Canis lupus familiaris: one gene and its partners. The protein of the gene in region 2 interacts with the protein of the main gene of each other region in a pairwise test. Links are inferred from orthologs where the notes say so. Each region holds a gene or a part of one and is shown on either strand. Other genes may lie near its edges. The genes, in order: CDA, PLEKHB2 and C15H1orf94.

Evidence for each region.
Region 1: the proteins of PLEKHB2 (region 2) and CDA interact in binary tests that used the Homo sapiens proteins (3 or more experiments, as listed by UniProt). The two-hybrid records come from large-scale screens. The link is inferred for Canis lupus familiaris from reciprocal best matches to the Homo sapiens genes PLEKHB2 and CDA.
Region 3: the proteins of PLEKHB2 (region 2) and C15H1orf94 interact in binary tests that used the Homo sapiens proteins (3 or more experiments, as listed by UniProt). The two-hybrid records come from large-scale screens. The link is inferred for Canis lupus familiaris from reciprocal best matches to the Homo sapiens genes PLEKHB2 and C1orf94.

The regions. Positions count from the first base shown.
Region 1 is NC_049223.1:77,721,805-77,731,927, forward strand, and holds the start of CDA (cytidine deaminase), read right to left. Parts: upstream 6,468-10,123; 5' UTR 6,388-6,467; coding exon 6,234-6,387; intron 1-6,233. UniProt on the Homo sapiens protein: This enzyme scavenges exogenous and endogenous cytidine and 2'-deoxycytidine for UMP synthesis.
Region 2 is NC_049240.1:22,061,327-22,071,449, reverse strand, and holds the start of PLEKHB2 (pleckstrin homology domain-containing family B member 2), read right to left. Parts: upstream 5,611-10,123; 5' UTR 5,610-5,610; coding exon 5,487-5,609; intron 1-5,486. UniProt on the Homo sapiens protein: Involved in retrograde transport of recycling endosomes.
Region 3 is NC_049236.1:7,755,903-7,765,984, reverse strand, and holds the start of C15H1orf94 (uncharacterized protein C1orf94 homolog), read left to right. Parts: upstream 1-3,403; 5' UTR 3,404-3,509; exon of another isoform or gene 3,510-3,521; intron 3,522-4,028; 5' UTR 4,029-4,676; coding exon 4,677-5,005; intron 5,006-10,082.

The DNA of each region.
Region 1 (10,123 bases), on a different chromosome or scaffold from region 2:
CCAGCTGTTCTTCAAGGACGCCAAGGACTCTCCTGCCATATGGCCTTTCGCACTGGCTGTTCCCACTGCCTGCAATGCTTTTCCCCTATGTGCATATGGTCCACCCTACTCCTGTCCCTGCTCAGATGTTCCCTCCCCAGAGAAGCCTGCCTACCTTATCTCAAATTGTTGCCTCCCCGCCCCGGCCTCCCACCCTCTCAATCCACTTATCCTGCTTTAATTTTCATCACTGTGCTTAACACTTTCCTGAAAGAAATGTCTTTATTGTCTAATTCCCCTGTCACAGGGGTAAACTTCCTGAGGGCAGGGACTCTGCTTGCAGTGCCACTGGGGTCTGGAACAATGAAGCCAGCCAGGCTCTCAGTTACTTTATAACCAAGGAGTAGAATTTCCTACTTTGAGCTAGATCTCTGAGATACAAAAGAATAACTTTATTTGGGGCCTCTAGCAAATTCAAGGGGAATTTCCTGGTCTTATTAAAAAATAGAGAGAGGAGAAAAAAAAAAAAAAAAAAGAGGAACAAAGCCCTTAGTCACGTACTGTGATCCTCAAAGGCCAGACCATTTTTTTTGCTTCCCTCAGCTCGGAATAGGGCATCATCCATCCAGGCAAAGCAATGCCATTCCCAGTTTCCGCCTTTGCTCACTCTAAAACACACGCGAGAGACAGACCGGCGTGGTGCCAAGTTAGGGACCCACTGTAAGGTTGGACCGGCTAATACTGTGATGACAGGGCTGTTATTACTAACTGCTTTCTTTTATTCTTTGCTTTCATTGTTTTTCTTTTATCTGCCTGGCACTCGGCGTGGTATACTTCCATCTGTATTATGTCGTTGACCCTTTTAACAACTCTATAGGGCAGAGACTATTATAACCCCATTTTAGAGAAGGTTAATGCTGAGGCTGCTGGCGGGGAGCCTGGACTCACTTCCTGACCCATCAGGTACAAAGGACTGTCCTTTTTCTCTGTGGCATTTCAGCGAGGACATGTTTCAGAGTTGGTTTGGTGCTAACAGTAGGGCGAGGGTTAGATGTTATCAGGGCATCGGCAAGGAAGGAAGTGCCCAAGGAGGTGATCTGGGCTTGGCCGACCAGAGAAAAAGAGCAATGCTCGAAATCACTGCGCCTACTCCCTCTTGAGGGATCTTAGTACAGTTAGAGCGATTCTTTCCACACTCACCCCACGGGTGTCATCTTCTGGACGGCTTCTTAAAAGAGATTTCTGGGATTTCCTGGAGTTTCTACTTGCAAGTAGGCCTGGGTCAGACCCCAAGAATTCACATTTCTCGTAAGTTCCCGGGAGGTGCTCCGACCACAGGTCTTGGGGACCATATTTGAGAATCACTGAACCAAAGAAATGTCATGTCCACGTGCTCCGAGAAATACTACACTTTTTCCACTTTCCTACCTCCCTCTGCCCACTGCACAGGCAGCGCACAATGACACATATGAATTCTATTCGAACTCAACTACAGAGTCCCGGGGTTTTAGTGTGAAGCTTATCTTTGTAATGAGCTGCTTTTGAGTGACCACAGCCTGAGGGTGGGGGTGAGGGGACAGGGTGTGGTGGGTGTAAGGAGGGCTGGAGGGACAGGAAGGCAGTTAGAGATGCCTGCTTGGACTCACCGAGAGGTGCTGTGGGGAGAGGGGTGAGGCTTGGAGAGCGGTCCTGGATAAGAAGGGTAGCCCATGGGGGAATCAATCGAGAAGCCAGGGGCTGGTCTGGGGAGGACGATGAAGGATCAGATTTAAAGGTTAAAGCCAAGACAAGCTGGATTCAAGGTGCCCAGGACACCTTGAAGTGTCTTTTTAGAAATGTGGTTTGTCCCTCCCAGAATTCATTACAGCCACATCCAGTAAAGTGGCTTTACCCCTATAGGGTGCTCAAGTCCCTCTAGGGAGAGGGGGTGAGGGAGAGAGAGCATTGTCCCAAGGACAAACTTGCCCATCTCTTGGGAGGTGTCAGTGAAGAGCGGTCTCCTCGACTCCTCCACCACCTCCCGTCTGGTATTGCACAAGCACTGGCTGCCCTGGGCTGACTCCACTGCCCCAGCCAACCCCCCCCCCCGCCCCCCACCCCCGCTGCTGCCTCATCTCCTCTGTGTCCCCCCACACACCGCAGCTCTTCCTTCCCCAATGGGCTCTTCCTCTCCCCCTCTCCCTGCAGCAATCACAGAAGGCAACTGTTGCCGTGATTAATCGTGATTAATCACCATCCTGGTGGCCCATGCTCGAGGGCCATGAGACCCTGGCCAGGGTCAAGGGGAAGTGATCGTTATGACAAGATCGTGACAGCAAGGGCGTCAGACTTGTTTTTCAACTGAATGGGGCACCAACCGCCTCTGAGGAGGGAAACTGCACAGAGGCTGGCCTTTGGTGCAGCTGGAGAAAAGTCACGGAACTGGGCAGACCCATGGGGCGCTAAACTATAAGCTCACAGCATCTAAATTCAGCTGCGCCCTCTCTGCCTCCTGATTGTCTCTAATTCACCCCCATGGTGCCCCGTCTGGTTTCCCCTGACTGTTCTAGGTCCCCTCCTCTCCAAGCCCTCCCTTCCCATCTATAGGAGACCCAGGGATTCGGGTAAATGTCTTCCATTCGTCCCCCTCTCCCAGCACCCTCTCTCTGCCCGGCTCTGCATGTGCACCCTGTGACAAGGGGCAGCACAAAGAGCATGGCCTCAGTTATCTCATTGGTACAGTTGTGTTTGACTTCGGCTTTGGCACCTCCAGCCTCCTTCTTGTGACCCCCCTCCCCCCTATGGGGAATAGATGTGGGTGTGATCCAGCCGGACCAATCACACTACTCCACCATGACAACAGTGATTGCCCAGGGGTGTGCATGTGATTGGAGATGGACCAGTCAGAGCCCTTCTCTGGAATTTTACCGTCTCCAGCTAGTGGGAACCAGTTCTTGCCTCTCTGCTTTTGAGGCTGTGAGAATGTGAACCAGAGGCTGCCTGCACTCACGTTCCCTGAGGCCTGTAGAAAGCCCACCTACGGGATAGGGGAAAGCAACAAGCACCCAGAAGGATAGAGAAAGGCATTGGGACATTGGAGTTCCTGGATCCAGCTGTCCCTGAGCTAAGATCTACCCTTGCTCATTATGGTTCTGGTTGGTTTCTGTCACTTACAACTCAAAGTGCTGACCAATGCATGTGACGCTCGTTGTCTCCCTTCATGTGGTGGCTGTGAGATCTTCCATACGAAGTGCTTAGTGAATGATCAATCACTGAATGATCAATCAATCCACTGTACCTGTTGGTCCCTGCCCGTGATGTCCTCAGCACCATTCATCTCTGCCTTCAGCTCCCCACCTAGGCCAGTGCCTCGTCATTCCCCTGGTCTACCCAGCTAACAATCTAGAACCATATTCCTTTCCTTCATTCGAGTACTGCTCACCCCAAGTCCAGTCCACTTGTCCCATAGAGTTGCCCTCAGGTCTTTCCTTCATCATCATTCCACCTGCCACTGTCCGAGTCCGAGTCACTCATTCACACATTCAACAAGCTTTAACTGAGGGCAGATTACAGGCTGGGCAATGGGCTGGCCCTGTGGACAGGTCAGCAGGCAAGACAGACATCATCTGCCTGGCACTCTTTCCTCTGTCTTGGCTTTCCTTGAGTACCTGTCAGGCTAACTGACTTTGAATTCTACTTTCATGTTACTCTTCTTTTTTGTTTTTTTTTCTTTTTTAAGATTTTATTTATTCATGAGACACACATAGAGAGAGAGAGGCAGAGACACTAACAGGCTCCACGCAGGAAGCCCAACACAGGACTCGATCCTGGGCCTCCAGGATCATGCCCTGGGCTGAAGGCGGCACTAAACCACTGAGCCACCCAGGCTGCCCTCATGTTACTCTTCTTAATAACATTCCTGGTTCTCCATTTCCTAGCTCATCAAATCTCAGTGTCAATGGTTGGCCTTCACAAGTCTTCCACAATCTGCCTCCAAATACTATCTATGTATATAATAATACCACTAATAGTAGAAGGAGAAGAAGCTGCCACCATTTGTGGCGTCCTTCCTGTGGGCAGAAACTGTGCTAATCGCTTTATAGGCATTAGCTCACGACCTGAGGATTCTATGCCTGATCAGCACAGGCACCAACTATCAGGGAGGACCCTGATGTCACGCTGGTATAGGCAAACCAGCTCTGTTCACAGCCATCCAGAAAGGTGGGTGCATGACCCTCAGTTTACAAATGTGTGAGACACATTAGGGTGAAGGGTCATGCCCAGGATCACAGCTGATAAACAGCAGCACCAGGATTCAAACCCAGGAGTCTCTAAGTCCAGAGCCTTCACCCCATCCCAGAGGGCCTCCCTAAATCCCCACTGCACACCTGGGTTCTTCCCTGCAATTTAAATAGGCCACACTCCTGCTCTCCTCATTCATTCACTCCTATAGCCATTGGGAGGCTTCCCTTTCGAACCATAACCTGTGTAAGAGGAGGGACCTCCATGGGGGCAGAGACTACGTCATTTCTGCCATTGCAATATCCCTGGTACTTGGCACATTATCTAGGATGTCATGGTGCTCAGCAAATATTTGTTAGATGAATGAACCCATGCAAAGAATCATTGGAAAGAACCAGTAACTGATTCCACAGTCAAGCCCCTGGAGTCATGGGGCAGTGTGGGGTGCAATATTGTTTGTGGCGGTGGTTAATATTTAATACTCATCTGAGCCACCAGGCCAGGCCTGAATTCCCACGAGACACACCAAGAATCTTGATTCCCTGCAGAATAGCTGACCTGGAGTCAGGGGAACACGGGGTTCGAATCCCAGCTCTGTGATCTTGGGTGTGTTTAGCTTCTATGAGCCTTAGTTTCCTTCCCTGAGATATAAAACTGCCTTGAGGGGTTATAAGGGTCAATGGACAAAATTCTTCACTATCCTTTCACATACTAGCACTCATTCAAAGTTCCTTCTCCGGCTCAAAGAGGTTGAAGACCCAGGTGATTCGTGAAACCGGACAGAACCTCAACGATGGGACACAACATGAACAGCAAGGAGAGCCCAGGAGGGCCCCCACACAAGGGGAGATGAGGGCCCCCAGCCAGCCTCACAGCTGAGCAACAGTGGGGGCAAGTGGCTCCCCACTGGAGGTTATCGATTAGATGTACACACATGAACCTCTGTCCCTTTAAATAGCTGTCATTGCCAAGTAGAGGCGGATTCTGGGCAGCAGGGCTGGGTGTCCCCATCCGTCCCCGCTGTGCCAATCCTCATCTGCCCTCCGAGTGGTGGGGAGGGGCATGGTTTCCCCGGCCACTTCCTCACCCTGCTCCCCACTGTTTTGAATGAGAATGCCTCTTAGCCTAGCAAAAACAAGTCTCAACTTTTGTTCAAGGAAGTTTTTCTATAAAACCAACAAACCAAAGAAGAGGAGCTTAGGAACAGATCAGTGCTGACTCCCATTCCCACCATCCGCACTCTCGCCCTCCCCAGGCCAGCACTCATTATTGCTGGTCACCTAAACTTCGCCAGGCTTCTTTCCCCCAAGATCCCCTGTGAGGCTGGAACTCCCGCTAACCAGTCACCCTCTGCTGGCCGTGGGCTCTTGAGTTTCTTTCCTCTCCCAGTAGGTGGTGGGAAGAAAGCAGGGTTTGGGGGACGCCAGCCTTGGGTTCCACCACCAGTGCCCCCGCGTGACCTTGAGCAAGCCGTGTCACCCTCTCTGGGCCTCAGTTTCTTTATTGAAACGTGAGCCTCACACGGAGGTGAGTGGGTGAGAGGTGAGGACTCGCTGATGCCACCCGCAGGTGCCACCAGGTGGAGGTGGGGGGGGTGGGCTCAGAAAGTATCAGCCCTCTCCCTCCCCGCTGGGACTTGTGGCCACCACCCCTTTCAGCTTCCCTCCCCGTCCCACCTCTGGCTTCCCAGTCCTCTTAAGAATTGAAAAGTCGTTGGGACGCCGGGGTGGCTCAGCGGTTAAGCGTCTGCCTTCGGCTCAGGGCGTGATCCTGGGGTCCCGGGATCGAGTCCCACATCTGCCTCTCTCTCTCTCTCTCTCTCTCTCTCTCTCTCTCTCTCTCTCTCCCCCCCCCCTTTCTGTGCCTCTCATGAATAAATAAAATATCTTAAAAAGAGAAAAGCATTGAAAAGCCGCTGCATCTGAGCAGCACCTGCACCCCCAGGTCCGGGCCGGCAGCAGGCGGGGGTGAGGGGCGTGAGGGGCGCTGCCAGCGTCCCCGGGGTGCGGGCCCGGGCACCGGGGAGCCCTTACCGGAGAAGATCCTCCCGTCCTGAGTGAGGATCGCGGCCCCCACGGGGAAGTGACTGTAGGGGCAGTAGGCGGACTTCTTGGCCTCCTGGCAGGAGAGCAGCAGCCGCTGCACGAGCTCGGGCTCCAGGGCGCTGGCGGGACGCTCGTGGGCCATGTCGGTCCCGCGGGTGGCGGAGGCGCGGAAGCCCGCTCGCTGCTGCTGCCCGGCCGGCGGCTCCACGCTGGCTCCTCCCCCGGGGCGAGCCCCTGAGCGGAGGGGGGTGTGGGGGTGGGGGTGGGGGTAGGGGGAGGAGCCGCCCCCAGCCCCACCCCCGGAGCGCCCCGTGATGTCACCGGCTCCTCTAACCCTGCTCCCTATACGCACATGACCTCATTCCATCCTCACGACAACTCTGCAAGACGCGGTGAGCGCACCCACTTTACAGATGGGGAACCTGAGGCTGCAGAGACAGGTGGTGATTAATCTCCTAAGGTCACATGGCTAATCAGCGGAAGAACTGGAAGGACGCGACTGTGCTCGTGTGCTCACCCTCTGCCCCGGGACCACTCGTGTGTGTGTCACGGTGCCCACGAGGGCGAGTGGGTCAGGGCGTGGCTGCCCTCCTCCCCCTCGTGTAGGGAGAGACTGTGCACACGTGCTCCTCAAGGAAGAGGGGGTCAGTGTGAGGTCTGGGCAGTCCAAGCCCCAAGGGTTGAAATGCCCCTCAGTTTGTTGAATGACTCTCCTTCACTGGGGGATGTGATGAGGCTGAAAGGGCAGAGCTGGGGCAGCCACTCTGGCTTCCTGAGGCAGGGAGTGTGAGACAAAGCAGTAAGACCAAATTGCTTCTTTATTTTCACCCATTCTCCTTCTGACTCCTGTCTTAACCCAGAATTTAAAAGTATCTCAGGTGGAGGGAACCTCTGAGGTGGACTACTCGGGCCTCCTCATTTTTCTGTTGGCAACATAAGCATTGGGTTAGTGGCTAAAGAAATGGGTTTGCATACCGGCACCGCCGCTTTCCACATGTGCAACCCCTGGCCGGTTCTTTGACCTCTCTGAGCTAGTTTCCTATCCCTACAGTGAGGATAGTGACCATCTCTGTTCTACTTCCTTGGATTATAGGAGAGCTTGAACTTTGGAGTTTAGTAGACTCTAGTTTGAATTCCAGTTCTTCCGCTGATTAGCCATGTGACCTTAGGAGATTAATCACCACCTGTCTCTGCAGCCTCAGGTTCCCCATCTGTAAAGTGGGTGCACTCACCGTATCTTGCAGAGTTGTCGTGAGGATCGAATGAGATCATGTGTGTATAGGGAGCACGGTTAGAGGATCCAGTGACATCATGACAGGACCGCTCTTTATGACTTCCTGCAGACTGTCACTAAGGGACTTGGCCCAGATCACATAGGAAATGCAGAACACCAGCTGGAGCGTCCAGAGGCGTCTGAATGTCTGAGACACCCCCACCCCCACCCGTAGCAAGTGGGGGTGAATCAGCGCTTCTCTGAGGGCTCGGATGGAGGGCGGGGCAGGGCAGGGGGGTTAGGTGGCACAGGGGGAGAAATGAGGCAGCGGGTCCGTATCCTGCATGCTAACATCTCGGGCAAAACAGGTGCAGCCCAGCATCTCTGTGTCCTGTAGCCTGGAGCTCTCGCCCCGTAGAGATATAGGCAAACACCCAGCTGGGCAAAGTCGGCTTCATTTTCCTCTCCCTCCCCTCCCCTCGTCCCATCAGCCCCCCCTTCTATATATCCAGCCCCCAGAGAAGCAGCTGCTTCCTTCCTGCCCGCTGTTGCAATTTGCTTCTGGTTCTACACACTTGGCATCTAGAGCAGCTTCCTGGATCTGAAGCAGGGCTGGCAGGGAAACCAGCTCTAATGTTCCCCCAGCTTCTCTATTGCTGCACCACCCAGCTACCCCAAAGGTCCATGTCCTGAGTTTCCAGGAAAGAAAACAAAGGCTGTCTGGGGAGCATGTGCACCCACTCCACATGGAAATAATTCTGAAGCTTTTGGAGCCAAGTATAATTGCAATGGGAAAAGAAATACAGGTACTGCTGGCCTGTCAAGCCTGAGACCTCCACGGGCAGTGCTGTTCCTGTCCCTGTCCCCTGCCCTATCTGGACTCACTTTTGCTAAGCCCAGCCCTACCCAGGACTGGGGCTGGACTCCTTGGCTCCATAGCATCAGGAGAACTTGGGTGGCCTCCATGAAAATTATGGCCTTGGCCCCTTCAAAGCTCTTTCCCTACACTTGATCACACATGGGGACAGTGTCCATTGCAAAGCCAGCTGAATGGGGCTGGGGAGCCAGTAGTAATTCTAGAATTCCTGACACAAGGAGCTTGGAGTGACCATCTGGAAGGGGAGAGTGGGTCTGGAAACATTTACAGAGCTAAGTTTTAGATCAATAATATTAACAACATTTTCTAAACATGCTCTAATCTCCACTCAATGTAAAATTAAGAAAAGTTAATTCCCCAGCTCAGAGAATAGGAATATGTAAGCAAGGTGTTTTGAGTGGTGGTGGAGATCCTCAGGGCCCAAAGCCTTCCCTCCAGCCCCAAGCCTTTCCTCTGTGAGGAGAACCACCCAGAGTCCTCTGTTAGAGTTCAGATACCATTAACTCACTGCTTTGTTCAATGACTAGTTACTCATAATAACAGCTAACTCTTATGAATCTCTTTACATGTGCCCAGCCCCGTGTGAAATGCATGATTTGAATCATTTATGTTATCCTCACCACAAGGTAGATGCAGGCAATACTACGTGCCATGTTTTACAGGTGGAGATGAGTAAGGGATAGGTGGGGTGAGGTAGGGAGGGATAGGTAAGGGACTACACGATCAGCCTCACCCCAAATCCCAGAAATGCTGAGATGTAAGAAAACCAGAGATAAGGAAACAAACCAGACCACCTGCCCTGGGCCTCAGAGGTGGCGTCTTTTTATGGCAGTCACATCGTGGCCACAAAGAATAACCAAACCCCAAAGAAAAAATAAGCCATTCAAGATGTTGTCAGCAGTCCTTACTCAAACCAGGACATCACAAGACTGTTAAGGCCACAAGCTCCCTGGTCAGTTCTAAGTAAAAGACTGCTGGTGGAGGCTCAGGTTGGCAACCTGGTCAGGACCCTGTCACTGCTGAGAACTTTTTCTGTACCCTTGGTTCATAAAACTGTATGGCTCTGCTCACTCTCCTTTGTCTGTGAGATTCATTCTTTGATTCCATGAGACAAGAACCTCACTCTCTTGATTCGAGGACACTTGAACTTATGGAGATCAGAAGGGAATCTCAAACATGAGTCTGTTTGCCTCCATCTGAAGGGCTATAGTCTGTCCCAGAACTCACAGAAAACTGGCATAATAGACCAACTAGGGGTGCAGGCTTCGACGTCCAACCAGTCAGTTTGAATCTTCCTTCTGCCTTTTATTACCAGCTGGGCACCTAGGCTGGTTAGCTCATCACTTGGTGCCCCTCTTTCCTCATTTATACGAGGGGCAGCTCTAGTATCCACTGTGGTGGATCATGGTGACTGGACTCATGTTCTGCTCAGATAGATGTCTCATTTCCTTCATTGTGGTTCCTTTGGAGGAGACCTACTGGTGGGTTGCCAGTCATGGTGCTTCCGCTCCCTGGTAGGTATGGGCAGTTGACACAGGGTGGCCAGCCAGGGACTTCGCTTTCCGGCTGAGTCAGCGGGAACATTGCTTTCTCCCACCATGGTTACTAAGCTAGGATGATCTGATTATTGCTGACAGCTAGCTTGCCCTCTGGGTAGAGAAAGCCTACTTGTAAAGTGAAGCCAGGTGGAAAAAAGCAGAGCTGAGAGATGGAGGGGAAAAAAACCCTGATTTTTCTCTGGGCATCTGGATTTGGCCACGAAGACACACTTCTAGACTTCCTTTCATT
Region 2 (10,123 bases):
AGCCCAATTCCTGATCCCAGATCCTGCTAGCCTGCCCTGCCTTGAGATTACCTGGAAACAATGGGGGGGGGAGGACCACACGACTTTAAACGTCCATCTTTTCATTTTTCGCTCTGTGTTAAACGGATGTATTACATAGATATGTAAAAATCTGTATTTCTTGTCACTAAACACTGGAATTCACATGAGAGTTATTTTCAGAGAGAAAACACAATAGTAATCTTAAAATGGGAATCCAAGACAAAAGATATACCAGTAATGTCAAGATTACCCATGCCAGTGACTGCTTTGCTATTTTCAACATCAGTGATGGATTATAAGGAGCACAAACAGCTAACTCCACTCCCTCCTGAAATGCAACTAAAATGACTTAGGGGGAAAACAAGGCATAAATCACAAAGACACCAGCAGTAGAGACAAAAGTCAGGATTTGAACATGTGTTCAAGAAATATAGATTTTACACTTGTTCAAATCCTGACTCACTCACTTATAAATAACCTTGAACAAGAGGGGCAGGGGCTGGGAAATAATAAATAACCTTGGGCAAGTTACTTAACTTTTCCAAGCCTTAGTTTTTTTATCTGTACAATGAGAATACCAATACCTACTTAACAGACATTTGGACAATTGGGTAAAATAATATGTTTGGCATAATACCTGACATTTACAAAAACTCAAGAAATGGGAGCTGCTCACACAGCAATTATCACTTATATTTCCTCACTAGCCACCTGACTAAAATCTGCCCAAAACATTCCAGAAGACCGAAGAATATTAAGCTGTGAAGAATGACTTTGCAGACTTAATAAATTAAGATACCCTTGAAAGTCAAAATTTGAACACATATACACTAGAAGTGAACGCAAAAAACAAAAAACCTCCCAAGGAGCACCTGGGTGGCTCAGTCAGTTAATCGTCTGCCTTCAACTCAGGTCATCATCTTAGGGTCCTGGAATCAAACCCTGATCAGGCTCCCTGTCCAGTGGGGGGGTCTTCTTCTCCCTCTCCCTCTGCCCCCACCCACCCAAATGTGTTCTCTCTGCTGCTCTCAAATAAATGGAATCTTTTTAAGATTTTATTTATTCATTCATGAGAGGCATGGAGAAAGAGGCACAGACCTAGGCAGAAGGAGAAGCAGGCTCCCTGCAGGGAGCCCAATAAGGGACTCCACCCCAGGTCCCCGGGATCACGCCCCAAGCAGACACTCAACCACCGAGTCACCCAGGTGCCCCTGAAATTAAAAAAAAAAAAAAAAAAAAATTGTAAAAAAATTAAACCTCCCATTCTACATAACTAAATCCATCTTTTCCCCCCCCAAAGAGTTTCTTTATTTAAAAGAGAGAGAGAGAGAAAGGGAGCACAAGCAGGGGGAGGGGCAGAAGGAGAAGTAGACTCCTTGCTGAGTAGGCAGCCCAAAGCAAGGCTCAATCCTAGGCCCCTGGAATCATGACCTAAGCAAAGGCAGATGCTTAATCGACTGAGCCACCCAGGTGCCCCTCCAAATCCCTCTCTTGAGGAACAAGAATATTTCTTTGCCTTACCTTGCTATATTCCACATCACTTCGCAACTTATTTAAAATTTCACTATTTATGTCCTGGAGCAAGATCTATTGCATAAACTAAAACCCATCAGATAAAAGGCCTGCTCGTGGTCTCCAGAGAATAAAACACCAGCAAACTAGCTGCAAAATATCCACATTACTCACATGCCAGTAAATCTATAGGAAGTTTTTAAATACAAACCATATTCAACAATTCAAATTATTTTAAATGTGAACTGAAATTATCTTAAAAACACTGAATCCAGGGGTGCCTGGGTGGCTTAGTTGCTTTAGCATCCAACTCTTGGTTTCAGCTCGGGTTGTGATCTTGAGGTCATGAGATCAAGCCCCACATGGGGCTCTGCACTTAGCAGGGAGTCTGATTTTTCTCTCCCTCCCCCTCTGGCCCTTCCATACTTCATGCGTGCATGCATTCTCTAAAATAAAATAAATAGGGACACCTGGGTGGCTCAGTGGTTGAGCTTCTGCCTTCAGCTCTGGTTGTGATCCTAGGATCCAGGGATCGAGTCCCACAGAGGGAGCCTGCTTTTCCCTCTGCCTATGTCTCTGCCTCTGTGTCTCTCATGAATAAATTAAATCTTAAAACAAACAAACAAAATCTTTAAAACAAAACACTGAATCCAAAAGAGATCAATTTTTTTTTAAGATTTTACTTGACAGAAAGAGAATACAAGCACGGGGGTGGGGGGTGCAGCAGGAGAGAGAAAAACAGGCTCTCTGCTGAGCAGGGAGCCTGATGTGGGGCTTGATTCCAGGGTCCTAGGATCATGACCTGAGCTGTAGGCAGATGCTTAACAGACTGAGCCACCCAGGTGCATCCAAAAGAGATCAATTTAACAGAAAGATATTGCCTTTGGAATCTGGTAGTTCTGAGCTTTACCTTTTTACTAACATATGACTTTGAGCACAATACTAAACCTCCAAGACCCACTTTTTTTTTTTACCTATTCGACAGGACATTACTGTTATCTCATAAGGTTAGTGTGAGAATTAACTGAGATAATAAGCCCAAAGCGCCCCATAGGAGCTGCTCCAAAAGGAGAGATGGCTATAATTATTATTTTTCCTAAGAAGTGCAATTCAAGGGTGCCTGGGTGGCTCAGTCGGTTAAACGGTTGCCTCCAGGTCAGGTCATGATTCCAGGGTCCTGGGATTCAGTCCTGCATTGGGCTCCCTGCTCAGCTGGAAGCCTGCTTCTCCCTCTGCTTGTGTGCACTCTCTCCATCTCAAAAAAAGTAAATAGGGACACCCGGGTGGCTCAGCGGTTGAGCAGCTGCCTTTGGCTCAGGGTGTGGTCCCGGAGTCCGGGGATAGAGTCCCACATTGAGCTCTCTGCATGGAGCCTGCTTTATCCTCTGCCTGTGTCTGTCTCTCTGTCTCTCTCTCTCTCTCTCTCAGTGTCTCTCATGAATAGACGGATAAAACCTAGAAAGAAAAAGAAAAAGAAAAAGAGGATCTCTGGGTGGCGCAGCGGTTTAGCGCCTGCCTTTGGCCCAGGGCACGATCCTGGAGACCCTGGATTGAGTCCCACGTCGGGCTCCCGGTGCATGGAGCCTGCTTCTCCCTCTGCCTGTTGTCTCTGCCTCTCTCTCTCTCTCTCTGTGTGTGTGACTATCATAAATAAATTTAAAAAAAAATTTTTTTTTTTAATTTTTAGGGGTGCCTGGACGCTTAGTCAGTTAAGTGACTTGAGTCTTGGTTTTGGCTCAGGTCATGATCTCATGAAGTGTGAGATCAAGTCCTGCGCTGGGCTCCACACTTAGTGTTAAGTTTGCTTAAAGATTCTCTCCCTCTGCCCTTTCCCATCATGTTTGCATCTGTGTGTGCACACTCTGTCTAGACACTCTCTCAAGTCTTTAAAATAAATGAAATCTTAAAAAAAAATAGGCAATAAGAATTCTCAAGCCTCTCTAAATACAGGGGACAAGCATTGGGTAACCCATCATTAGTGGTCAGTTCATTTGTAGCATTGGCCACTGACAGGTAGCAACCATTTCTTAATAGCAAGCTTCATACAAGCACTTATCAATGAGGAGACCCACTAGACAGGCAAGAAAGTTCAACTTTCTGTCCCCATGATCAAATTCAGATGCAAACATATGACCAATAAAACATGAATAGTCCACTTTTTGTAACGTTTAATAGTTTACTCTGCAGTTTTTCATACTTACAGACACTAATACTGTTCTTTAGACATCCAGTAAGAAAGAAAAAGACAGAAGTAAGGAGAAAGAAACCAATTATTAACAGGGTAGCAAGCTGGGAAGCATAGTAAAGCTTCTAGAAGGAGTAAAAAAAAAAAAAAAAAAGTCTATCCTTCAGGAAGTAACATGACTATCACAAGAAGATTGGTATCTATTCATTCTATACCACTACCAGTCATGAACAAATTTTACAAATTCAGTCCCTGAGATTATTAGGAATTTTACTTACAGGATGTGCTAACACCATTAAAAATATGCTAGTAAAGAGCCTCTGTCAGGTTCTGGGTTCTTCTCTGCAGCCTCCTTTAGTGAGCATGTACTTCACTGTGCTGTCTGCCAGGGAGATCCTGTGACATTTTGGATTCCTGTCCTCATAAATCAGTACGTTGGGGAGAGGGGAGGGGAGTCAAGTAAAAAAATCACTAACTCAAGAAGTAAAGCCCGGGCATGCTCACTCCCAAGTACAGGCTGGCATGAACAGACGGGATGCACAATCACATATACTCCGATACTGGAGTCCCCGGCCTGCTGGACACATAATGAAGGCCACAAGTAAGCTCTGGCCCGATCAGGAGACCCAGGTACTTCCCTCCCTTTCGACATAACGGCTCTGGGCTCGGGCAGGGGCTCCACCCTGTTCTAGTCAGAGGAGACACTAAAAAAAAAAAAAAAAAAAAAAAAAGGATTCTCCAGGAGCAATGGCGCTGGGAATGAACTACGTTCCTCTAGATTTTTTTTACAGGATGACCACATTCCCTCTACCCATCCTGAAAACCAGAAACTTACTTTCGTTCACGTTAATGAGGCCTGTTCTATGCAAATTACTCTACATATAAGGTAAAAACAAGACTCTGTGCGGACGCAAAATTAAAACCCCGAGCTCCGGAGTTCCCGATCTGGCTGAGTGAAAGGTTCAAATGGGGAAGAGATAACGTAATACCACAGCCCTAAGACTACCCACTCGCTGCAAAGCCAGGAGTAGGTAAAACCCGCCAGTGCACCGTTTCAACGGCGGTCCGGGTTCCTGAAGGAGAGGGCGTTCTCGGTGCGGGCGTGGAGCGCGGTGCCCGCAGAGAAGTGGCGGGGAGGAGCTGCGGGGAGCCGCACCTGCGGGGGGGGGGGGGAGGAGCCGCACCTGCGGGGAGCGGGGGCGGCAGCAGGAGAGCTCGGGCGCGGCTGCGCAGCTCTCGGGAAGGCTCCAGAGGCGCCGGCCCCAGAAAGCCGAGAGGGAACCCGAGCCGGGAGGAGTCCGGCGCGGCTCCAGGGAGGGGGGCGGCGAGGGCCGAGGACCGTCCCCTCTGGAGCGGCCCGTCGCTGGGCGGGTCTGGGCCCGGCCGCAGCCGAGGAATCCGCGGCCCTAGAGCAGGCTCTGGAGGGCCAGGCCCGGGGAGGCGGAGGCCGCGCGAAGCTGGACTGCCCTACCCGGGGCTCCTGGGCGGCCCACGCCGGGAAGGGAGGCGAGGTGGCGGGGGTCGCCTCAGGAGGGCGCTGGGTTGGCGGCGCTGGAGGGGGCGGGGATCCCCGCGGGGAGGGCGGGGCGGGCCCTGAGGGTGCTGCCGGGGGCGGGAGGACTGGAGTACCGCGGGCGGGGGCGGGTCTGGAGGGGCCCTGCCAGAGGGGTCCGGGCCGGGCAGCTCCAGGGGAGGCTCTAGAGGAGCCAACTCGGGGATGGGGAGCAGAGGGAAGCCTGGGGCGCCCCCGCGGGGCCGACACGTTTACCTGCGGACCGCAGCGGGCACCCACGCAGGCGCTGGGGAGCGCAGGACGCCGTGCGGGGGCCGCTCCGACCGCCTCGCGCCTGCTTCCTGGCCGCCGCCCGACGTCACCCTTCTCCGCGCGCATGCGCCCTGCCCCGAGGGGCGGGCCCGGGGTGGGGGCGGGGGCGGGGCCGGGGCCGCGGCGGAGCCTGGGTGGCGGCGGAGGGAGGGGAGAGGGTGGAGGAGGGGTGGGGAGGGGAGAGGGTGGAGGGGCAAGGGGGGGTGGGGGGGAGCCGGAAGTGAGGGATGCACGAAAACTGCTCTGATCTCGGAGGCGTGTGGGAGGACGCCGGGACCGACTTCGCTAGGGAAGTCAGCACCAAAACGAAGTCTGTGGTACTAGGTCACAGCTTAGATGTAAAACAAGTATGTAAGGATCCATCCACGTGTAAGTAAGGTAATGGGGAGAAAACAGAAGTCTTCTCCATAGAAGAATTCTAATAGATCATACCCCATCCAGAGGGGCTATTAATCTCCAGCGACCCACCCCTAAATCTGCATAATTACTTCCTCCCAAAGAGTAGTGTGAGAGGGGAATGACTCCAGTGGAGAAATCTGACAAACGGCATCCAAACGTGATGAGGTTGACATCGGCCTGGTGAAGTCATGTTGATATGATGTGATGAAATGTCACTTTTCCTATGGTCTTCCTTCCAAAAATAGTATACTGCCAGTCTAACCATGAGAAAAAAAGTAGACAAATCCTAGTTGAGGGATATTCCACAAAATAGCTCATCATTACTCCGCAAAACCATCAAAGTCATGAAAAACAAGGGAACACTGAAAAGCTGTCAATGTGGGATGCAATGCGGAATCCTGGGTGGAATCCCGAAACAGAAAAAGGATGTTAGTGAAAACATTGGTAAATTCCAAATAAAGTCTTCATTTTAATTAATCATAATTACTTGTAATTTTTAGTTTTGATAATTGTACCGTGATTGTGTAAGATGTAAACATTGTTAGGGGAAACTGAGTGAAGAGCATACTAACTTTCCTGCAAATTTAAAATTATTCCAAAATAGGGGCACCTGGGCAGCCCCGTGGCCCAGCGGTTTCGCGCTGCCTTCGGCCTGGGATGTGATCCTGGAGACCCGGAATCGAGTCCCAACTCGGGCTCCCTGCATGGAGCCTGCTTCTCTCCTCTGCCTGTGTCTCTCTCTCTCTCTCTGTCTGTCGTGAATAAATAAATAAAATCTTTAAGAAAAAAAAAAAATAGGGGCACCTGGATTGCTCAGTCAGTTAAACATCTGCTTTTGGCCCAGGTCATGATCCCAGGTCTTGGGATGCAGCCCTGTGTCAGGCTCCCTGCTCAGCAGAAGCCTGCTTCTCCCTCTCCTTCTGCAGCTCCCCCTGCTTGTACTCACTCTCTTTCTCTCTCAAATAAATAAAATATTTAAAATATTAAAATAAATAAAATTATTCCAGTATAAAAAGTTTATTTAAATTTTAAAAAAATTTAAAAGACTATTTAAAAGTTTATTTAAAAAAAAAATTCCGGGATCCCTGGGTGGCGCAGTGGTTTGGTGCCTGCCTTTGGCCCAGGGCGCGATCCTGGAGACCCGGGATCGAATCCCACGTCGGGCTCCCGGTGCATGGAGCCTGCTTCTCCCTCTGCCTGTGTCTCTGCCTCTCTCTCTCTGTGTGACTATCATAAATAAATAAATAATAAAAATTTAAAAAAATAAAAAAAATAAAAAAATAAAATAAAAAAAAATTCCTTTTTTTGGAGGGAAAAAGTAGAAACGTTAGTTATCTTTACTGCTAAACGTTTAAGATGCTCTTAAGACCCTGTGGGGCCTCTAGGATCAGGGTAGGTACCCTTTATGGGAAGTAGCCTGAGGGAACTTCTCACAACCCTATTCCTAAAAGGTGAATTTTTTAAACATTTATCAAGCTGTACAGTTCAGGTTTGTTTTCTTCTCTGTGGTGAATAGCAAACATTTAACTGAATAAATTGAGAGATTAATTGATTTTATTCAATGATTCACAAATCAGGCAGCATCACATCCATCAAATAGAAAGGAGCTCCAGTGAGCTGTAGAAAAGGAAAGGTTTTTCAAGGTGAAAAAAAGGATAGGAAAAGAAAATTATTAGCAAAGAATGCACTGTTTCAGGCAAGGTTGTCTGCCTAAGGAGATCAGTAAGGGTCTATCAAGAGGATTATCTCACTATGTTTACCAGGTAATTCCATGTTGTCTGGTTAAAGATTATTCCTGGGAGATTGAAACTACAATTAGGTTAGGTATTAAATCTTGGTTTGCTAGTGTGGAATTTAGCAAAAGTATCTCCATTTTGGGACTGCTTTCTCATTTTTAACATCTGCATGTAAACTTTTTTGCACTCTCTCTCTACACGCGCACACATACACACACTTTAAAAAAATCTATAGGAAAGGCCAGTAGTTAATGGTCTTCAAAACTCCAGACTCTGATGGCAAAAGTTCACGTCTTAACCCAGCTCCTCTCTGAAAAGTAATACAGGGTGGGGAATCCTGTGATGCCTTCCAATCTAATCTTTTGCAAAATAGTGTGACTTAGTCAACAAACAGTTCAAAGATTGGAATCATCTAGAATTCTTCCTGGTCCCACCACCCAAGCATGAGCTTGAGCAAATTGCCTGACATCACTGAAGTTCCTGACCTCTTTCAGTAAGTGGTAAAGCTAGCCCTATATTCTGTGTTAGTTTTAGGTATCTTTGAAGGCTTGGATTTGGAGTGTCCAAACATACACAAACATTGTCTTTGAGTGATGGGGCTATGGATGACTTATTTCTTCTTCATATTTTTCTGTATTTTCCAAATTTTCTTCAATTAATCACTTAACTTTAAAATCACTTAGACAATAGGAAAAAATTATATATATCTATATCTAGATACATCTATCTATATCTATACATATCTATATTTTTAAAATATTTATTTATTCATGAGGGATAGAGAGAGAGAGAGAGAGGCAGAGACACAGGCAGAGGAAGAAGCAGGCTCCATGAAGGGAGTCCGACTTGGGACTCAATCCCAGGATCACACCCTGGGCTGAAGGCGGCACTAAACCGCTGAGCCACCCGGGCTGCCCTATATCTATCTATCTTTAAGCTCACAACCCTTAGATCAAGGCCTGAGCTGAGTTCAAGAGGTAGCCACTTAACCAAGTGAGCCACCCAGGTGCCCCAGAAAAAAGTAATATTTGAACCCAGTTTGGTTTATGCAGATGTTCCAGGAGTTAGAGCAGGAAATGTCTCCTAGTAAGTTTCCTGGTTTAGTAAAATTAACTTTCTTTTCTTTCTTTTTTCTTTAATTCTTTAATCTCTTTAACCCAAATTCAGGTCAAAGTAGTTCTCTTAGGCTATTAATACAGTATTTCACCATAATTGGCAAAGTTCATAAGCACTCACCAGCACTATGACTTGTGCATAGCTACAAATACTATTCAATAAATATGAATTGAAAATCATAGTGCACTATCACCAGTGACGGCTGATACGAAGAACAGCAACATTCAGATCCTAAATATTCCGGACTCCTGGGATTCCATAAGTGGAAGCAGGAAGTAAACCAAAGTCTCCTCTGGAGTGTTCTGACATGCTCCCAAATCACCTAAGTCATTGTGTGTGTGTGTGTGTGTGTGTGTGTGTGTGTGTGTATTAAGATTTAACTTAGTTATTCATGAGAAATACAGAGAGAGGCAGAGACATAGGCAGAGGGAGAAGTAGGACTCAATCCCAGGAACCCAGGATCACAATCTGAGCCAAAGGCTCAACCACTGAGCCACCCAGGTGCCCCACCTAAGTCCTTCTGAGCCCAGCACAGCCAGCTTGCTGCCACTGGGCCTAGTGCTACATTTCCCAGGATGGTTGCAGAGCTCTCTCACAAGGAACAGTGCCCAGTAAAATTGGCTTTCTGACCAAGTTTGCTGACAAGAAAAGTGCAGGAGGAAGAAGACCAACTGCAGGTAAGAACACCTAAATTCCAGCCCCACATCTGCCAATACTGAATATGTAGCCTCTGGTCTAGAATTGAAACAAGGCTTCAAGGAGCTACACTGGGACTCTGCAGTCCTCAGTTGCCTGGTTCCATGGCTCCATAGAATGTGTGGTTCAACATGTTCAAGCCAAATTATGTGTTGATTAGCCCCACTCCCTTTTTTGCCCCAATTACTAGTACTGAAATTGAAAAAAGAAAGTGTAAGTTTTTTGTGGTTAAAAAAGGAAATCTGAATAGTACATCTGGGTGTCTGGCTAGCTCAGTTGGTAGAGCATGTGACTGTTGATCTCTTGGTTGTGAGTTCAAGCCTCGTGTTGGGGGTGGAGATTACTAAAATAAATAAATAGGGGCACCTGGGTGGTTCAGGCAGTTGAGCATCTGCATTCAGATCAGGTTGTGATCCCAGAGTCCTGGAATCTAACCTCCATCCACATTCAGCTTCCTACTCAGCCAGGAGCATGCTTCTCCCTCTCCCTCTGCCTCTCCCATGCTTCCACTCTCTCTCTTAGATAAATAAATAAATCTTTTAATAAATCATTTAAAATAAATAAATCTTAAAAAATTAATAGAACATGAAATAATATATCATGTCTTTCCATGCCACACCCGACATCATTTGG
Region 3 (10,082 bases), on a different chromosome or scaffold from region 2:
TCGGAATCCTAGATAATGGTAGCTAACATTCACTGGCCCCTGTCCTGAGCTCTGTACCTGTCACAGAGCAGCTCCACGAGGTCAGCATTTTATTGTCCCCGTTTCACCAGATGAGCAAATGGGGGTATACCGGGGGCAAGCAATCTGCCCAGCATCATGAGGGCAGTAACAGGCAGTTTAAGAATTTGTTCAAACCAATCGAACCCACCGTTCAAGGTGCCAATGGCGGCCTGGTCCCCGCATTCAACGGTCGCCCATTCCACGGACACCACTCCATGTGCTGGGCACCGAGACGCCTGCGTGCTGCAGGGGCACCACGACATACATTGAGCAGGACCCCAACAGGCTCTGATGTCCCCAAATCTGCTGTGTGCCAGGGACTTCTGGAAAGCTTCGCTCCCTTCGCGCGCCTATGACGACGTCTAAGTTAGAGGTTTTATTCATCTCTTCACCCTGTGTCTTGCACAATCTTGGCCCGTGGCAGGCGCTCAAAAATGAACAAAGCCTGGAAGGGCTTAGTTGATGACTTGAGTCTGTCCCTTCCTCACAGAGCAATTTCCCCAGTGCAGCTCAAGTCCTCCCCTCCCTACGCGTTGCACAAAAGCTGTTATTTAGAAACCCCGGTAGCACACATTTCAGCGTAATCAACAAAGGGACGGATATACGGCACTGCTGTGCGTCTCTTACGGGCCACGCGTCCCGTGTGTTAAGTCGTGACTCAGGAATAGCACGTCCACCATGATTCTGCAAAGCAGGTGTTCTTTGTTATCATCCTGTTTTATAGATACGACCAAGTGTTAGGAGCTAAATAGTGTCCCTCCAAATTCATATGTTGAAGCCCTAACGACCCCCCCAAAAAAACTCAAAATATGGCTCTAGGTGGAGATGGAACCTTTAAAGAGTGATTAAGGTAAAATGAGACTCTGGATTGGCTCCTAATCTGGGATGACTGGGGTCCTGATAAGAGGAGGACAGGTGCACCGAGCGAAGACCATATGAAGGTACAGGGAGAAGCCAGCCAGCCAGGAGCCCACGAGACGCCCTGCCGACACCCTGGTCTTGGAATTCCAAGCTTCCGGAACCGGGAAGAAATGCATTTCTCGGGTTTAGCCTCCCTTCCTGCGGCATCCCTAGAGAACCAACAGGCCAAGGCACAGGGTAATCTGTCGCCAGAACCCATGAACTCAGAAGTCGAGTCCGGGTAGTCTGGCTCTAGAGCCCATGTGTCTCATGACCACGCAGATGCCCCCCACGCAGTCCAAAATGGCAGCCGCGAGCCACATGCGGCATTTGAAATGTGGCCGATGTAACTAAGGAACTCAGATTTTAACTTAATTTACATTAAAATAGGATTAAAATGAAAATAGCCATATGTGGCTAGCAGCTACCATATCAGACATAGTTTTATACTATTTCGAATTACTTCGCTTATGTTTTCTGCAGAATCTTCTGGAAACCTCAGCTGTGTGCTCCAAGAAACATTCCCTATCCCTGCTGAATTTTATTTTATTTTATTTTTTTTTCAATCCCTTCCAATTTAGCCCCTGTTGCCTAGCCTCCTGCTGTGGGGGGAGAAGGAACAGGAGCGAGTGAGCTGGCTAACTTTCCAGAATCCTGTGGCCGGGGCAGGGCCGGGCTGTTGGCCTTCTGCTCTAAGCATGGGTGTTAGCCAACCAAATGCCAAGCAGCACAAACACTGAGTGACATTTTCAGAACTATTAATATTTCATCAGAAATGATCACTTTTCCTTTAAATACACTATCTTAAAAGGTTTTCTACATTCTTAACTATAATTTTATTCAGTCTAGGTCCTCAGAATTTTCCCCAAAGGAGCACATCTTCAATTTTATAATGAAAATCAAAGGCGAATGAAGCTCGGATTTCAAAATTGAGAGTCAACATTCCCAGGAACTCAGGCCTTCTTTAAAGAGCAAAGCTGTGTATTGGGCGCCGACTGTATGCCAGGTACTTTACAAATGATATAGCATTAATTCATCCAACATGTATTTGTTGAGTGCCTACTATGTGCCAGAAATGTGGTTTTCATAAGAATTTTCAACACCATTTTATAAAAAAAAAAAAAAAGGATTCTCCTTCTGTCTCATCTCCAATGTTACACCTGAGCTCCTCAAGGAGGCCTACCTGGCCATCCATCTGATGCTGCCACCTTTCCCCTCCCCCTGTCCTCCCCTATGCCTTCCCTCTACCTGTTGGGGTCCTTTGTCCAGTCTTTATAGGACAGGTGACCAGGGTCCTAAGGTTCCCCGGGTGAAGAGCCAGACCAGGGCTGTATTTCTGCTGCCTCTTTACTGGCCCACGAAGGGGACATTTTTCATTCTGCATGGACCACCCAGTTGTCAATCCAAGGCCCTTGAAAACCCACACTGGCCTAGGCTGAGGGTCGGATGCCCGTGGCTTTCCCTGGAGGCCACTCCGTGATACTTTCCCTTTTCTATGCCCAATTCGAGGCACTGGCACACGTGGTGATGGTTAGTTTCCGTCAGAGCCCTCGTTTCGTCTGTAATTAGTGCTTATTTACTTCGCTAGTGTGCGATCTTTCTCCTTACACTAGAATACAGGCCTCAGGAGAGCAGGGACCGTGCCAGTTTGCTCACCTGCATGCGTCCTCGGTGCCCGCATCTCACCTGGGGTGCTCAGCCAATCCTGGGGAATGAAGGAAGGAAGGCGCATAGGGGAGGTTAAAAGAGGGGTTGGGCCCCCCCAGCCAGGAGGTGGCCGTGGCTGGTCTCTTCCCATCCACTCTTCTCCCAGTCATCTGGCTCGCTCTCCCTTTCCTGGGTGGACCCCTGACCCCCGGGGCCGTGGAGCCCTGGGCAGGCAAAGTGCCGCATCAGTTCTGAGTTTAATGAAGCCCATCCAGGGAGAGAGGTGAGCTCACTGGGCCGCAAACTGCTAACCTAGCCCTTCTCTCTGGCCAGGAGCCCCTGACCCCACTGCCCCCCGCTCCCCCTCCACCCTGGGGACCTGCTGAACCCAGCTCAGGAGGGATCCCTAAGGCCGTGACGGTTGGGTGGGGCCTGGAGGGTGGGGGCCTGGGTGTGAATCCCAGCTCCTGTCTTCCTGGTGGGCTCTGGACCGACCCCCTCTGACCCGCAGACTGCGTTTCCTCCAGGCCCCACCGGTAACAAAGGTACTAACTTCACGAGCTTGGTGGGTTGGCTAGGACACGGGAAGCCCAGAGCTTGGCACACGGTAAGCGCCCCCCAAAAATGTCAGTTTGGGTCCACATCGGCGGTTCCGGGCAGGGCCCCCGGCAGGTGCAGAGCTTGTGCATGAGCGGCGGGCGCGACGGGGCAGGTGCAGGTGCAGGTGCCCCCGGGTCGTCCCGGCCCCGCCCCCACCTGCCCGGGGGCCTTGGGCGCCGAACCCCGAACCCAGCGCCCGCGCTCCGCTCCGAGCCGTTGCGCTTGGGCCGCAGAGGAACCCGGCGCTGGGCCCAGGGTGTGGGCGCCGGCAAAGTCGGCCCAGGCAGCGGGCCTGCGGGCAGGTGTCTGCTGGGGTAACGGGGGGGGGGGGGGGGGGCACCCCGGGGTCTGCCGTCCGGAGCCCCAGGGCGTGGGGGCGGGGTCCCTGGGAGGCCCCGGGACGGTGGGCGGGACCCCGAGGGCTGACCCCGCCCCTGCCGCGCCTAGCACCTGCCCCCGGCCCTGACCCAGCACCTGCCCCAGGCCCTGACGTAGCACCTACCCTAGGCCCTGACCTAGCACCTGCCCTGCACCCTGCCCCAGCACCTGCCCCAGGCCCTGACCCAGCACCTGCCCTGCACCCTGACCCAGCACCTGCCCCGGGCCCTGACCCAGCACCTGCCCTGCACCCTGACCCAGCACCTGCCCTGGGCCCTGACCTAGCACCTACCCTAGGCCCTGACCTAGCACCTGCCCTAGGCCCTGACCCAGCACCTGCCCTGCACCCTGACCCAGCACCTGCCCCAGGCCCTGACCCAGCACCTGCCCTGGGCCTTGGCCTAGCACCTGCCCTGGGCCCTGACCTAGCACTTGCCTGCCAGGTCATGACCTAGCACCTGCCTGCCGGTTCCTGACCTAGCACCTGCACCAGGCCTTGACCCAGCACCTGCACCAGGCCCTGACTCAGCACCTACCTGCCAGGCCGTGACCTAGCACCTGCACCGGGCCTTGACCCAGCAACTGCCCGCCGGGCCCTGGCCTAGCACCTGCGCCAGGCCCTGACCCAGCACCTGCCCACCGGGCCCTGACTTAGCACCTGCGCCGGGCCCTGGCCTAGCACCTGCCCACCAGCCCTGGACTGGGCTGAGGGCTGCAGGTGTCACGGGGGCGTGGCGACGGGACGGCGGGGGCTGCGGGGAGAGCCCGCCCTCCCCCTCCAGCTGTTCCCAGATGTCATTCTGCCCGCCCAGGCACCCGGTTCCTGAGCTCAGGGGGGTTCCACGGTTACTAAGCTACTGGTTTTTGTTGACTTTCAAATATTTTCTTCTACGGGAGAGGGGGAGGGGGGCAAAAGTCAGAAGAGAGCAAATAAAAGCAAATCAAAATAAGCTCCCCCTCCCCAAAAGAGAGCGGTGCTCCATCCTCCCCTCACACCCACCGCGAAGGCCTCTGAGCACAGCCACCTTGCTGAAGCAACAGCCACGCAGAACTGACCTGCGTCTGCCCATCCTCATCTCCCTCTCCGGTGAATGAGGGGTGGTGGTGGATGGTCCCCCTGTCTTCAAGCCCTGGGCGGACGAAGGGGCCTCCGGAAAGACAGGAGGAGGATGGCCAGTGGAAATGGGCTCCCTTCATCCTCAGCCCTGGTGGCCAAGCGCCCCTCCGCCCTGGGCCCATTCCCCAGATACATCTGGATCCACCAGGACACACCCCAAGACAGCTTAGACAAGACTTGCCACGAAATCTGGAAAAGAGTTCAAGGCCTGCCCGAGGCCTTGCAGCCCAGGACCGTGAAGGAACAGCTCTCTGCCCCGGTGGCTGGGACTCCGAGAGACAACGGGCTCAGCTTCCAAGAAGGGTGAGTGTCCCCGTCTGTGGCTGGCACCAAGGGAGGAGGGAGGAGCCGAGGTCCGACCTTCTGGGGGAATGTTCTGGCCCGTTGTTGAGTCTGGTTAAACCCTTAGGCTGTATATGCCTTCTCTCCACCTGTTGGGGTCCTTTGTCCAATCTTTATAGGGTGGGTGACCAGGATCCTGAGCTTCCCCGGTGAAGAGCCAGACCAGGGCTGTATTTCTGCTGCCTCTTGACCAGCCCACAAAGGGCTGGTGTTTTTCCCTTTGCCCAGGCCACCTAGGTGTAGATCCGAGGCCCTCGAAAACCCTCACCGGCCTAGGCTGAGGGTCGGATGCCCGTGGCTCTCCCTCCAGGCAGCTCTGCGATACGTTCCCTTTCCCGCTCCCAGAGGCTAGGCACTGTCACAGATGAGTCTGGTGGTTTTAAACCACATCTGGAATTCCCTAATACAGGGAGCAGCTGTCCCATTCAGCCTCCACAGAAGCCGCTGCAAGAGCGCACATCAAAATATTTACTGGGAAGGCATTGACATATTCAGAGGGCACAATAGAAAATTAAAGTGCGGGAGGATGGCTGTAAATAGCCCTTTTCCTAGTTGGGGAATCCTGTGCCTGGGAAACACAGAGCTCAATGTTGGGCAGATATGATTGGGGCTGGAAATTCGCAGGGAAAGGAAGGAGAGAGCGCGTCAGGAAAAGCGAGCGAAGCGCCACGGCCGTCAGTGCCACTGTGAGCCCCCAGTCATGTCTGGCATCCTCAGAGTGGGCTGCAGACGTTAATTAATCCTCCCAGGGTCCCTAGGAGGCAGGTATTGGTGTCCCCATTTTACAGATGGATTAAGTGTTAATAATTAAGTGCTAATTGAAGACTAAGTGATAATTAAGTGTTGCCTGCTCCAACACATGCTCCAGTTCAAGTCGGAGATGCCGGATGTGGGGTGGGGGGGCATCCAGGCAATCACCAACGATGTCTGGTTTCGGGGATTTCTAGAAAAGAGCTGGGAAGAAAGGCGAAGTGTGTGCAGGTGCCCCAGGTGCACTCCCTGCTGTCCCCTCTCGGGCTGCCGACAAAGGTGGAAGGCACCCGGCTGTCACTGCTCACCCTGCCCTGTGCCCAGCACCATGCGGCTGGAATGGGAATGGCCCGTCTACTGGCCGAATCCTGCCGCCAGCCCCCCAGTGGCGCTGAGCCCCCCCTCTGCTGCCCATTGCCATCTGCTCCGGGATGGAGCCCTGGCAGGGGGCCTCGGGGCTGTGCTCAGCACTCGGTGGCCAAGACGCTGATCGTTCACTTTGTGGACCAAGGGTCAGTGGCAATTTCCAGTAGATGGCACCCTCTCTGCCAGGTCACACTGAGCTAATGGACACAGGTCTGCTTCCAGTCTGCGCTTGGCCCCAAAGTGAACTGGTGCACCTTTGCCCAGTGGCTCAACTCCATCTGGCCTTGATGTCTTTTCATCTGCAAATTGAGGGTCATCTGCCCTGCCTGGTCCACCTCAGAGCTGATAATGAGGATCACAGGCCTCGGAGACAGGAGCCCCCCCCACCCCCCCACCTCCAAAGCTGCATTATGCAAAGGAGGCTGTCCTCACACGGAATTCTCAGAGCTTAGGGTTTTTTTGTTGTTGTTGTCGCTGCTGGCTTCAGTCGGGGGTTGTCACACTCTGCTCTTGGACCCTAAGGGGCTTCAGGGGCCACCCTAGAATCAAGGGGCTAGGTTGCTGGGGCACCATACCCACTTTGGCCAGAGGGCTTGCTTGGCTTTTTGGGGTTTTGTTCCCTGGAGTTTGCAGGAAAAGCAGCATTTGGAAAAACAACAACAACAAAAAAACAATGGTTTTGCCACTGAGAAAGCTCAGAAACCCCCGCCTGAGATGAACACCCCATGTCAGAAGTGTGTGGCCATCACCCAAGTAGAACACGAGGGGCTCTTGTTGAAACCCAGGCAGCCGTGACGGCGGAGCCCCGTAGCTGCTTCAGATCGTGCTGTGGGATTTAACCTCTGCGAGCTTCAGTTTCCTCATCTGCCACGTGGAGACCATCTCCACCACCGCAGTGGCCTGTTGGGATGATTCAGCGGGATATTTAAACGTCCCTGGCAATAATGGTAATAACTAGGATCCGTATAAACTCCTTGGGACAATAACGATGACGATGATGACTTTAAATTATTATGTGAATTATTATGCAATTATTATGTGAGGTTGGTACTATTTTAAACTCTCCCTCTTTTTTTTTTTTTTTTACTTTTTATTATGCAGATGTTCCCATGTATACAATAGAATAAGGTCTGTCTCCGAGGTTCATGAAGTGTCACATTTGTGCCATTCTCGGTCCGATTCCTCCCCTCCCCGGGGTTTTAATGAAACCCGTTTTGCAGAGGAGGTCATAGGCTGGGGGGTTGGGGTCTCTGCCCGGGGCCCCGGTGGTTACAGGGTGCTGGGGTTTCAGAAAGCACACCCAGGTTCACCTGAGCGACCGTGCTGTAGGGAGTGCGGGCTGTTCCCCGGAAAGTGGAAGCGGCGTTTGGGTCCTCACGCCACCCGACAGCCTCGTGGGCTGGATGGTCACACACAGATGGCGGGCTTCGAACCCAGTGAGCTGCCCGGTGTGTCTGCGGGATGGCTGCAAGCCCCTGAGATACCCCTCAGCACGTCTTCCCACTGCTTAACGTGCAGACCCGGTTTGGGTGATGTTTTCTGCTAGATAAGTAAGTTTCAGAACCCCTGTTGGCCAGAAACGTCTTGTGGACTCAATCCCTGTATATCACAAAATCCCAGATGTGTCAGGGTTGAAAGGGGTATCGGAGGCCGTCTTCTGCTGCTTGAATCCCTCAACATCCTCGCCAAGGCGTTACCCGCCCGTACATTTTCTTAGATGACAAGCTCACCACCTCCCGAGATGCGAATGCAGGCTGTCAAGGGACCGTTTCCTTCCTACATGGCATCTGTCTCTATCAAACGAACACCCATGGATCTGGATTCAGATCCACGGGCTTAGGGCTGCAAGCTACGTCAACCCCCTCGTTCTTCCAGCCGCTCTTGAGCTATTAAAGGATGGCGCCGGCGTCCTTCCTGGGATTTCTGGTTTCCGTAGCTGATCGTTGCTGGTTTCCTAAGTTTCCCTTCCCGCGCCAACCCGGTCAGCTTTCTACGCTCACTGTGGTCCCCGTGACAGCGCAGTGACCGGGACCGAGCACGGTAACCCAGGGGTGACCCCAGTCTGTGCAAACTGGATCGTCTCCGTATTCTGTGTTCATGCTAAAGCCGATGAATAGGACGCATTCGCTCTCCTCCACGAGCCAGCTTCATAGTGTGCGCACATTCTGAGCTCGTCCATTCATCCATTCATTCAGCTATTAACTCAGCAAATCCTCAATAAGCGTCAACTGTGTGCCCGGCAACGCGCTGAGAAGGAGTGGGATGGAGCCCCGGGCTGGGTGGGGCTTTCCGTCTGGGAGCTTCCTCTCAAGCTGGAGACAGAAGCAGAAAGCAAGTGAACAAGATGCTGGTGGTTCTGGAACGCGAGAAGCACTGGCGTGCTAGTTGGAGGGAACCAAACACGTGAAAAGAGACCGAATCACTTGAGGTGGCAACGAGTGCTCTGATGGAAAGAACGCGGGTCCCAGCACAGCACCCTGAGGCAGCGGCGGGGAGGGGGTCAGGGCAGGGCCCTCTGGGGAGACGTGGTCATGTGACCTGAAATTGGGGCCGGTCGGGAGAAATCCGGGGAAGGGCGACTACGAGGAGCCCGAGATCGAGGTGAGCCCGGGGAGGGAGCGCGGGACCCGGGCAGGTACCGGGGGTCGGGGGGACATGGGACAGAGCGATGGGAAGCAGGCTGGCAAGGTGGAGGCGGCCCGGGGGGTGACCATCGGAGCCCGGATGGGAATCTCCGTGGGGCGGGACCCGAGCAGAGGCCTTGGGGACGGGGCTGTAGCATGAGCGAATTGACTGGTCTTCAAAGGCCTCTCGAGCTGCGGTGTGGACAGGGCGTGCGGGCCTGCGTGAGGACGCGGGAAGACCACTGGTAGAGCAGCCAGCGCGGAGGCAGCAGGGCTCCTCCGAGGCCGTCGGCCTGCGCTGCGGGTTGGACCGTGGGCCGTTCCCTGAGATGGGGAAGAAATGGGACAAATGGGCTTTTGGGGAGAAACCGATGACTCTATCTAGTGTTCATCAAACTCCAGACTCTTACTGAGCTATGTTTTAATTAGACTTAAATTTGGGCTTAGAGAATTGTGGGAAGCCACCGCCTGACTCCTAGTCTAGGACCGAGGCCCTCTCAGACCCCCACCCTCACCCCACTGCTGACAATCCACAGCCTCGGAACAGGGCTTTGGGTCTGCAGTGACCCCCTTGCCCTGACCGGGAAGTGGCATTTGTCCATTCCTGTGTTTGCAGATTCATTCAACAAACATTCCTGGCTGCCCTCTGGGCTGCCAGGCCCTGTGCTGGGTCCCACGACACAGAGATGAGCAGTGCAGGAGCCCTTCTCTCTAAGAGCTTCACCTTAGTGGCCGGGATCGACCCAGACACAGCGGCAACGACCTTCGCCATATTGATCGTGCGCCCACTGCTTGGATGCCACAGTGGGAACGATGGGGACGGTCTCTGACCTCCGCCAACTTCCACCATGTCGAGGAAGGCAGGCCACAACATGTTACCGCGGGTGCAAGGGGGGACGCAAAGGGAGACTCGAGGTCTGGGCTTGGGGCGCAGGGAGGGCTTCCTGGAGGAGGCTGCGGGAGACCAGCTTGAAGGTGGAACGATGAGACCCCTGCCATATATGCATGCAATGAAGGGCACAGGGAGGGCCCCTTGGGCCCCAGGGTGGTGGGATTGTCACTGTGAGGGGCTGTGCGGTGGCATCTCCTGAGCTAGGTCTTGAGAAGAGAGAGAGCATCCTGCAGGTGCAGGAAAAGCCAGGCAGCTCCCCGGAGACGGCTTGTCCTGAGTGGGGGTGGACGGGGTGGAGAGGTGGCTGGGAGCTCACCGGGTGCTTCTGGGCTCTCGGGCTGCACCCTGGGGACCTCCCATTCCCGAAAGTCAGACAGGACTTGGTCTGCGGAGTCCAAAGGCTTCG